Arabidopsis thaliana: one gene and its partner. The protein of the gene in region 2 interacts with the protein of the main gene of each other region in a pairwise test. Each region holds a gene or a part of one and is shown on either strand. Other genes may lie near its edges.

Region 1 (5,932 bases), on a different chromosome or scaffold from region 2:
ACTTGTTTAGATTTGATGCTGCGATAAGCCAATAACGACGTTTATTATATTTTTGTCTGAATTTTCCTTCTTCTCGACTACTATAGCTATATGGGATTGATAAAAGTTTATGGCCAATATAGTTTCCGTTATATACTTATTTAAAACATTGTACAGTTTTGAAAACAAAACTGTGACCACAAAGACAAAGTCGACCACCAGGACAAAACGAAATGGGACTTTAGTTTCTGATTTTATTTGTACATCTGGCTTTGTGTAAATTGAGTTAATTACAAAATAGGCATTTGTCTTAAGAATTTATTTATTAAGACATTTCTCATATGTCTTCACGAAAACATGTACTTATTTCTTGTGAAAAGTCATCTCTAATATCATTTCATTGGCCTCATCTTCTCAAGCCGAGAAAGTCTAATTAATGTTGTAGTGTTGTGTCGTTGTATCTGTGTATGCATCGCAGACTGTCAACTAAACGGTTTGGGTTTACAAGTCCAATTCTAGGGTATATCGTTTTCACTTCTTCACCTATTTTCACATCATCCTACCACTTGCAAAAATGGAATATCAATTTCTCACTTACTCCAGAAGGTTAAAATCGTCCGAAATCAGACAATAAGCGGCCCATTCAACTGTGCAACATACCTCTTTTGAAATTATTAAATTTAAAATGCCTATATTCGATATAAGCTCGTGTAAGTTTATCTGTAAAGCAAGCTCTCATTGTCAAAATCCATAACTCATATAATTCTTGAATGGTTATAGAAAATTACAGATTGATCACAAGAAAAATTGATGATATTATCTTTTATCAACACAAGATTATACAAAATATCTACACACAGCCAAAGGCCAACACGGTTTTTCTCTCTTGATCCCCATACTCAGCTCGCTCATTAGCCAGGATATCAAACACACAACTCTTACAACTTTATATGCCTAAAAAGCTTTAATCGTGGTGTCATAAAAAAAAAGCAACCCAAGAAGATAAAAATTAAGAAATTAAGAAAGATTTGCATCCCTTTGATTCAATCTTCCAGACTGGTGAGTGACACAGATTAAGCCTCTCTCATCTTGTATCACCATTGACCTGCAACGACGCATCTTGCATCAGTTTGAGACTGATACTGTTAAACCGTTCTCTCGAGTACTGTCTCGAAGCTTTTCTCCAATCTGTTCCTGTTTTCATCATCGTTACAAACTCTTCGTAACTTATTCTTCCATCCTACAAAAAAAACAATTTTCATGATGGTTAGTTCTCTATGAGATGGGATTTTTTTCAACAAGAAAACGAGAGTGAAATGGTGAAGTTAACCAACCTTGTCGGTGTCAACATCACGGATAATGGCATCAACAACTTCTTCACTTGTACCAAGTTCGTCAGACAAGGCTTCCCTTAACTCCTCTATTTCGATATATCCGTTATTGTTTTGATCAAAGAACGCAAACGCTTTCTTGAGATGCTCGTCATTGCCCATTTTCCTTAGGTGTACCGATATGGCAATAAACTCGTCACAGTCCAAATATCCATCTCTATCGATGTCTCCCTGCAAAGTAGAAGAAAACCATCCAGAGCTCAGTTAACTGCATTCAAATCACACAAAAACTGGTATTGAAAAGTAATGGTAAATCAAAGCTCACAGCATCCATCAAAATTTGTAAATCATCTTGCGGAATGGCATGACCAAGTTTCTGCAACCCGATTTTAAGCTCGTCGATGTTAATCTTCCCTCTTTGGCTTGTGTCCATTATTTGGAACCCTTCTCTTATACCTGAAGCTTCTTCATCTGATAAATGCTCAGCAATAACCTATCGAGATAACGTAACAAGACCAAACGAAACTATTGTTAGGCTTTTTAGATCAGAAGAGATATACATTTTCGGATAGTTTATAAGTAATATGTATTTTACCCTGAGTGCTCGTTTCTTGAGCTTGTTCATGACGGTGAACTGCTTCAACCTTGCCCTCACTGTTTCACCCAATGATACATTGGGGGCTGTCTTTGCATTCTGTAACCACGGGTGATCTGAGGAAAATGAAGCAAAGACCGATTAATACTCTTTGTCTGTCTCAGATTCCATATAAGCAAATTGCATCATATAAATCTGTACCTAGGACTTGTTGAGCTGTAAGACGACGCTTTTGGTCAGGATCAAGCATTTTCCTGATAAGGTCTTTTGCGTTTTCAGAAACCTTGGGCCATGGGTCCCTTCTGAAGTCTAGTACAGATCGAATAATTGCTTGTGCAACTCCTTGTTCAGTTTCTGAAAATGGTATAGAAAAAAACAGAAGACCAGGTTCATTATTCTTATGATCACTTCTTCATATACTACCCCTGAAGACAACATGTGCTACAGACGGCCCAAGAAGAAGGAAACATAGACTGACAAAACTAACCTGCCCAGAAAGGCGGGACACCACATAGCAGTATGTAAAGAATTACACCTGCACTCCAAATATCAACTTCTGGACCATAATTCCGTTTTAGCACCTCGGGAGCCATGTAGTACGGACTACCAACGATTTCGTTAAACCTCTCGCCTGCAAAGAAAATAACGGTGTGGGTTAAGATTATTGACAAACCACAAAGCAATCAGCTATCTACTGAGCAGAAAGACCACATTACCTGGTTTAAAGAAAACAGAGAGACCAAAATCAATCGCCTTAAGAGGTGCAGTCTCCTTCTTGTTTCCAAACAAGAAGTTCTCAGGTTTCAGGTCCCTGTGCATTACCCCATGCTTATGACACACCTGCAAGAACACACTCATTAATCTCACATCTAAAATCACTCCACAAGACTTTCAATTTACATGAAAAGAAACGAATTTTGAATCTTTCTGCAGCAAATTGAGCCCTTTAAAGCAATGCTACAAGTCAATAATGTCCAAGAAACTGAAACCAGTAACAAACCAAGACATTATACGAGGCCATTGCAATTCTGCAACAAGTAAAGACTAAAGAGATACAATAAACAGCAAAAAAACCTTGACGAACCTGAACAACTTCCATGATGGTCTTAGTGACAGCAGCAGCAGCTCTCTCAGTATAATGCCCTCTAGCAACAATCCTATCAAACAATTCACCACCTTCACAAAGCTCCATAACCAAATGAACAGCATGCTCATCCTCATAAGTCTCCTTCAAAGTAACAACATTAGGATGCTCAGGCATATGCCTCATAATCTCAACCTCTCTCCTAACATCTTCAATATCAACAGCTGTCCTCAGCTTCTTCTTCAAAATCGATTTACAAGCAAAAACGTCGTCTGTCTCCTTATCAGTACATAGATACGTAACACCGAATTCTCCACGACCTAGCTCTCTCCCCAACGTGTATTTAGACTCGATCTCACGACCTGTTGGATCATTCAAAACGATAAGCTTAAGAGGTCTTCCACCTCCATCTCCACCACCGTGGTGAAGACCGTAATCAATCGAGAAAGGGTTTTGCTTCTTCCTTCCTTTTTTGGGTTTGTTATCGTTTTGAGCCAATGATCCTGCTGTTCCGCAACAATTACCCATGACTTTTCCGATCAAACCCAAATCAAAACCGATGAAACTTGAGAGATTGAGGACGAAATTCCAGGAAAGTAGGAAACTTTAAGAGAATTCTGGAAGAGATGGATGAGAAAAAAACGAAGGAGGTGAAGAACAATATATGAAAGGGTGGAAATTTTCAACGCGTGAATACCAAGAAGAACGTCAAATCATTTGTTCGAAAATTAAAATTGCGAAAAATTAATTACAGAGAGAGAGAGAGAGATGATGATGGAAGGAAGGTCAAGAGAATCTTCTTCCCTCCCTTCTTCTCCAGCTGCTCTATGATTGTTTTTTTTTCTTTTTTTGTCTGTTTCTTTTTTTCACTTTAAATTTTTAATTTTCAAAGAATGTTTCTTACTATTACATTACTCTAATGTGAAATCAAAATGCCTTCAGCTTTACCAAATTACTATTGACAATATTACCCCTATATGTGATTTTAATTATTTTTGGTGAATATATGTGATCTTAAGTTAAGGCTTAAATGCCGACAAAAAAAATTAAGGCTTAAATAGTTAAATGTCCACCAATTGTTTTTTTTCAAACTCCTGCAGAATTTTTTTTATTTTTAGAATATTTTTGTTCATTTTAATTTTAGAAAACTCTTTATTTTTATAGAATGTCTAACAAAATTCTAGCACCAAATAAATATATATCTGTGAAATGAATCATACAAATAATTACGAAGACAGGGGTGTTTCAGGAATTTTACCTCATGGATTAAACAGAAAGCGGAGTCTGTGACACGTTCTTAAACTAAGCGCCTTGGAAATAAAAAAAAGTTAAGGGTGAAACCGTAAATACGCTCGTGTTTGGGTTCATAAATAAGCGGCCACCTTTATTTTATGTTCTGTTTTTTTTTTATAATTAAAAGGTCAAACACGGCGATTTTGACTCTTTTTAATCACTTTCGTCGGACCCAACTAACTAATTTTTTTGACTTCGATACAAAACAACCAACATATGTAATTACTCAAAGTTATTTGCTTTTTCTGTCAAGTTGATGATTTTGGTTTTGCACTATAAAACTTCTACCAACAAATCGATAAACGCATTTTGATTTATCAAAATTTAACTGATATAGAAATAAATTTATTTTTATTTTTTTGTCAACTAATTTAATAATTGTTCAGATTACAGATATATGTGCAATTGGGTCGAAACCTGTATTTAAAAGTAACATAAATACTTAAAATTTTACTTTAGAGTTAGTTTATATATAAAATAATTAGCAAAGTCAACGGAGTATGAATGTGGTAAGATACTTTATCAAATGCCTCTAAATTAATATCAAAGCTCCTGATGGACATTCCTTTCCTTACACGAGTGTTTGTCTTACTCCTACCAAGTCAATGATTCAATTTGTAATTTGTTTACTTAGATTACCGTTACTAAAAAAGAGAGTTAAGTGCAATATATAATTAGGCAAGAAATGAGGGGTTTTATACAGTACACTCTATTTTCTTTAGTATTTGATCATTTACCAAAGACTGAGTCTTGTTTGTTAAAACGACCAAAACAAAATATATCTATGATATTGATGGACAAATAAATAGGAGAGTTAACAAAGAAAGGGTATGTAGATTTCTACCAAAAAAAAAAAAGGGTATGTAGGCCCATTATGGCAGAAGCAAAAACCGAAAATAAGCCTTTCTTAATCAGCCCATCTCAAAATCTCTTTACTTCTCTCTTTCTTGCACTTGTGTGTATAAGGTCTATGTTTTGTTCACCGTAAGAGTGTGGTAAGAAATACATACAAGTTGTATGCAAAAAGGTTTTAGACTCGTCTGAGCAAGATTTTAGTGGGTTCGAAATTCCATTCCTGAAATACGTAGGGTTTCGAGCTTTGCAGCCTGAATTAGTAAATTGTGGCGTCTTAAATTACATTTTTGTTAAAGCTCTTAAACACATGAGTGACAGGCCAAGGTAGAGAGAGTAATTAAATGAACAGAGCTGGAAACTAAGTAAGAGCTTGAACCTTTTTTTTCTTTTCTTTAACTCTTTAGTCGTATCAGTCTCAGCAGATGGAATGACAAAACAATACATGTAAACAATTTTCTTGGCTTACAAATAACATTTTATTAGTTTTTATGTGGTGCAGACAAAGAAAAAAGCATACAATTACAAAATATATCAGTACCTTTAAAACTCTTACATTCTATATATAGTTATATACACATTGATTCCCAACAGAAAATGGTAGCCTATATATATTGAGACATTTGGATGTAACTAAAACTAGTAATAGCTTAGCTAGGAAAGAGAGAAGAATGATCGTTTGGCCGGAGGTCGTCCAACGGCTCTCATGAGATTAGCAACTTCAAGAACCCTCGCAACCTCCGTCCCTCGTTTACCTTCCGCCGTGGCTCTCCTCTCCTCCGCCTTCCTCTGAGCTTT
Region 2 (5,590 bases):
AGCTAAAGATCGGAGTAAGAATCGAAACAGAAGATGTAAGTGTGAAAGGATTCGTGACAAGAGAAGAACTTAGTCGAAAGGTACCGTATATATACCCTTTCATGTTTCCATCTTTTGTTTTAATTGGTGTCATGCATATATTAGAATAAAATGTTTTGAATATGGTAATCATGGCTTTGCTTTTTGACTAACAAATTAACAAGAAGGAAGCCTCTTTTTCCGTTTGACTGTAGAGTACCCCTTGATTGTATTTATTATTTGTACTATTTAGGTTAAACAATTGATGGAGGGAGAGATGGGGAAGACAACGATGAAGAATGTAAAAGAGTATGCGAAAATGGCGAAAAAAGCTATGGCTCAAGGGACTGGTTCGTCTTGGAAGAGTTTGGATTCGCTTCTGGAAGAGCTTTGTAAGAGTAGAGAGCCAGACGGTGTTAATAAGTTGTCAAGTTCTGATGCTTAGAGAGATTAAGGATTGGATAACAAAACGGCTTCGTACCTAATTTTAGTCATTAAATATGTTAGGTTTGTTGAAAAGTTGGTCCATTCTTCTCAATTGGATATGAATGACTAATTTGGAGTTCTAATTCTTGGTTTTGGTCTTATAGTTTCAAAAAATTTCAATTGCATTCAGTGGTTGCTTTATGAGATTTTTGCTATCTTTGAGGTTAATATTGGCTGGTCAATCCGAAGAAGCTATCAACACCTTAGTGTTCTTCTGAAAGACTTAAAAATGAGTTTGTATGCAAAAGTAGTATCTACTATGAGAAGAAATCAGACTATATAACATTGAGACAGTTTAAGAACAATGTATTTTTACTCTACACTCGTTTTCTATATCTAACATCCTCAAACCGAAACGAAAAGAAAAGAAAAATTACAAGTTGAAATAATTAAGGGAGTTTCCTAACTATTTACCATCTAAAACCAAACAGTTCACACAAAAGTTTTTTGCCCATAATGACTACACTTTAAACGTCTTCTTTATCTATAGAGAAATCAGGCTCATCTGGTTTGAATAGTTGAGGCATCTTCAAACTGGTGGAAGATCCATCTTTCTTACCAGTACTACTACTTGAAGCCTTTTGATTTGTTCCTCTTCTCGTGTTCGCCGCAAATTTAGATGCTAAGATCGTTGCTCCCAGATTTGTGTTGTCCATTGATCCGCCTTCCTCGTCACTTCCATAGTAATACTCTCTAGTTTCTTCGTCTTCTTCATTGTAACCTGTTTCATCCGGGTAATAGTATCCGCTACTCTCGTGAAGGCTGAGCTCTTTCGCAAGCTTTCTTCGCTTGTATCTTCTCCATGCAGATTGGACAAAACATGCTCCCCATGCTCTCCATTGATGTGAGTAGTACCTGAAAGCGTGTTGAAGCTTTTTGCTTTGAAGACGTTTGAACTGATGAGCAACAAACTTAAGATCCTCTGCGCTTAATGCAAAGGCTTCTACTTCAGAGAGGGCACGGACGCTTCGTGTTGAAGACGGAAGATTGAGTGTAGAGTTTGGCATTAAGGCCCATGTAAGAAGTTCTTCCCCACAGAAATCGCCAGGTCGTAGAGTAGTGGAGTTGAAGAAACCAGATCTTCCTCCATTTGTTGTTGAGCTCTCTATTTGTCCTCGGATCACAAATAGCATCTCATTCACCGGATCACCTTCACGGAATATGTATGTCCCGGCCGTGCTTAAAGATGAGACAAGGCATCCGCATATAGCATCAAGAAGTTGATCATCCATTTGAGAGAAGAACGGGACCTGCACTTACCACAACAATGTGACTTCTGAATTGAAAAACAATCAAATCCATAACAGTTTTTGATGACTGAGTTGATGTATGTACCCGGCGAACAAGGGAGAGACAAAGATGACGTTGGATTTCACGGCGTAAATCTGTAGGTAATGAATGGAGGATTGATTCTTCATCGACACCTCTGGTTGCAAGCCATTTGTATTGGACAAATCTTCGGACACGTTCTTGAAGCTCTGGAGGTAGTTGACGATGTCTCATCCATTCTTCAGTGTCTCTTCTCTTAACTCTCCATTCCTCAACTCTTACTGACATCGATTGCAGAGAAGACTTTCCACCAAATTAAAAATCATGAAGTCTATTGTTAGAAAGACAAAAAAATGTCTCTGTATTGAAAAGTTTTGCAGAGTGATGCATAAGCTCTGAATCTTACTTGCATGTTACCAATCAGGAGTGTGAAGAGAATCAACCCAAAAATACAAATTGTTATACAGAACAAGGTCTCGCCAAGGTATACACTTGTGGTTATATTCTGTCCATAAGAACTGTGAAACAAAACCTTTATTAAAACCAAAGGAGGACAATTTAAGCAGATACTGGTTAGATAAAAGGTTGTCATACCTTAGATTTCTTAAACCCCACCAAAGACAATACAAGTACTTGGACACAAAATCTGTTGTAGCAACTTGAGTGGTAAAGGCTTCAGCAAACATTCCGAATTTGAAATTGGTAGTGCTGCTTGTAGCATCACAATGAGAAAGGACCTGAGTAACGTTCTGCCAATACTGGCGCTCTGGTTGTTCTAAACTCTTGCAATCCAAGAAGCTAGGAAGACAATCCAAAACTCTCAAAGCGTTGTCTTTCTTGCATACGTTGGACCAGCACGAAAACTGCCGCCCGATTGATGACAGATACCACATTGCTCCTAACACCTGCCCACAAATAGAGATTCTTAGCAACTTAAAACTGAAGAAACCTAAAGATTTGAAAAAACACACAAGATAAAGAAAACTTACGTGACTAGCAAGGATGTACAATAGGAGGTTGTATGCAGCTCCTGCCCAAGCAGTCTTGGCGATAAACCCGGTTGTTTTGATAATCCTTTGGTTGAGTGGGAATATGATGAATGATCTTGGAATGTATTGAACAAGAACGATAAGTGCGAGAGTGCTATTGGCATGATTAGCAGTTCCATTTGTGGCCGCTGGAATTACTAGCCAAATAACAAGCTGAGATCAAAAGATAGTCAGAAACAAAGCATGAGGCTCCCAAAATATCTCTGTTCTTTAATCTTCTAGCTACCGCCTAACGATTTTTGAACATTGATCTTAGCTAATCGTAATCCATATCATTGCTTTCACATTCAAAATAAGAGCAAAATCTTAAGAACCTGAGGAAGGGGAAGCATGGCGGCGACATCAATGAGGAAATCTGTCTTCAAGTATCTCATAGCAATCTCTCTAGAATCCATAACAAGCTCACCGCGACCAAAAACACGAGAACTCCTCGCGACGAACGCAGTTCTGAATTTCATGAAAATGTGCAAGAGGTGGAAGATATCGGCGACTGTACGGAAGAAAGTGACAGTAGCGGCGAGGCTGATGTCGATGGAGAGACACGCCGGACCACCGACGTAAGGGACGTAGAAATAGAAAGGATCGAGGAAGAGAGCGAGGATTGAGGTAATGAGAAAGACGTGGTTCCAATAGGTGACGATGTTGCTGTCCGGGTCCAGGATCTGATGCCGCCATAGGACGCTGAATTGGCTACCGTCAGATCCTCGATTTGAGGCGGCGGTGGAGGCGGAGGTTATGGTCTCCGGGAGGAGGCAGCGGAGAGACCGGATTTTATTCATCTTCCATGGCGGATTCCGGTGTTAAATCGGATTCCGCATTAACACAGAGAGAGATTGAGATTGATGGACAGAGAGGCTAGGTGGTTGCGTCGTGTGATTTTTTGTTTTTTTGGGTTTTTGCATTTTGTTTTTGATGATTATGGAAGAAGGAGAGGATTTCTCGCGGGAAAACTGAGAGAAGGGCCATGGAAATAGGGGGAAGGGTAGTTTTTGAAAATATGATGGGAGAATGAGGGTATTTACGGAATGTTATAGTTGCGGGTCTCGTTTGTTTATGCTGTTTTTGTGTTCTCAAAACAGCACACGTTTTGCATCTCAAAACTTCAATCGACACAATATCTACTGTTCTTAGTTGTTGGACCCACCGGCCCAATAGTTATAGATCGGCCCAATAGTTATTTTTTTCTACTTTTTTTCTATGAAAATCAAAGGGATATATACTATATATGCTTTAGGATTTTAAAATTACACATTATAATGTATACAATTGCTATGATCATTTCTATTGATAAACTAATAATGTTTTTAGTAGTTTTAACTTAAAGTCCGGTTTAATATTGTTTAGTTCAATTGTTCAAAGAATAAAAAAAAAAATTATAATTAATTCGTAAAACCATGATAAGATTAGTTAAAATATCTAATTCGTTATGAGGTTCATTAGAATTTATTTAAGTGAATTATTGAAGTTTTATGAGCTACATTTATTATATTTTGTCAACACATTAAACCCGTAATTCAATTATACTGTCTTTTGTAGTATTTCCGTTTTTGACATCAGTTTAACAAATTGTCTTACATAATTCATTTGTTGTTGTTATGTACTATTAAAAGTATATAGAAGCACGCGTACCAAACATTCTGTGACAATATGTGGTAGTGGGAAGATAGTGTACATGCTTGTTGACACCATCCATAAGATAGTGTACCTATAAAATAACAAAAAGGGAATAGAAATCCTTAGAAACAATTATGCGAATATAAAAGGGATAATAAGAAGTGAGAATAATAAAATGAATACTGAAATTAAAAATTACGTCACGGAAAAATGATGTTTATCCACACAAAAAGAACAACAACTTCCATCATATCATATAGAGGGACATACTAACTTTTCCACTTCCAAAAAATCACACTTATGCGTAATTGTTTTCTCTAACAATAATGACGTATTTTAGTCCTTCAAATTTTAGTACTCCATCATTTTCCGATTAGACACAAAGTAGTAATTTCAATATAAAAAATTAATAACAAGCTTTTATAAATGATTATGATAACTTATACTAACATATGTGACAATATTGTTTTCTCTATGCTTGTTAAACGTAATTAAGAAACAATGATGTTAATTACTCCAACTAATTCATGGATCTAGAAATACGATGTTGGTTAAACATTATTATCGACTAATTTATTACTTCGTTAATGGCTGCTATTAAGTATGACCACGTGTGGCAGATTTGAGATGTTTAGCGATCTTTAAATATAGAATCCGACGGGATCCAATTCTCCTCTTTTTTTTTTATTCCACTTTGCCACTGTGATTATATAATAAGTATGATTAATTAAGAGATTTACATTCTATTGATTTACTTTATTATTTTATTCATGTGGAGTAGACTATACGACAACTACTTTATCGTTACTTTTTAATTTTATTTTTTAGTGAAAATTTGCTAGTCAAGTTTAGAAAATTCAAAATAGCATTTCACTTTTATATGCACGATTGATTTCGTTGCTTATATTAAGATAAGGAAAACAAATGTTACTCTTCCTAAAAAAATTGTTCTTTGAGAATACAATTTACGTGTTCCTCTTTTCAATAAAGTCGCTGGTGTTTATGAAACACACATTAGAAAGAAAAAAAAAAGATTTAAAACATTTATGAAGATGGCAAAGGTTCCCACTTCCCATTGTAGGAAGCAACAAATTTCCTTTTTGTTTGATTAATATAAATGCTTACGGGACGCAAGAAGAAATTTCGTGATCGTG

What was found.
Region 1: the proteins of CNGC18 (region 2) and CPK32 interact in a two-hybrid assay, tested with the Arabidopsis thaliana proteins (one study listed by BioGRID).

What each region holds. Positions count from the first base shown.
Region 1 is NC_003074.8:21,295,835-21,301,766, forward strand, and holds CPK32 (calcium-dependent protein kinase 32), read right to left. Parts: upstream 3,871-5,932; 5' UTR 3,518-3,870; coding exon 2,990-3,517; intron 2,746-2,989; coding exon 2,622-2,745; intron 2,537-2,621; coding exon 2,393-2,536; intron 2,260-2,392; coding exon 2,107-2,259; intron 2,022-2,106; coding exon 1,906-2,021; intron 1,804-1,905; coding exon 1,636-1,803; coding exon of another isoform or gene 1,585-1,635; exon of another isoform or gene 1,542-1,584; coding exon 1,314-1,541; intron 1,220-1,313; coding exon 1,064-1,219; 3' UTR 623-1,063; downstream 1-622. Other genes in the region: AT3G57540 (Remorin family protein), read right to left, coding at 5,789-5,932. UniProt on the Arabidopsis thaliana protein: May play a role in signal transduction pathways that involve calcium as a second messenger. Involved in maintaining Ca2+ homeostasis in pollen tube tips by regulating CNGC18. Functions as regulator of the calcium-mediated abscisic acid (ABA) signaling pathway.
Region 2 is NC_003076.8:4,807,297-4,812,886, forward strand, and holds CNGC18 (cyclic nucleotide-gated channel 18), read right to left. Parts: upstream 3,798-5,590; 5' UTR 3,602-3,797; coding exon 3,137-3,601; intron 2,976-3,136; coding exon 2,763-2,975; intron 2,679-2,762; coding exon 2,368-2,678; intron 2,292-2,367; coding exon 2,180-2,291; intron 2,077-2,179; coding exon 1,840-2,076; intron 1,755-1,839; coding exon 972-1,754; 3' UTR 795-971; downstream 1-794. Other genes in the region: AT5G14860 (UDP-Glycosyltransferase superfamily protein), read left to right, coding at 1-80, 272-463. UniProt on the Arabidopsis thaliana protein: Cyclic nucleotide-gated ion channel required for directional pollen tube growth into the transmitting tract. Acts as a Ca(2+)-permeable divalent cation-selective channel inhibited by either lanthanum or gadolinium.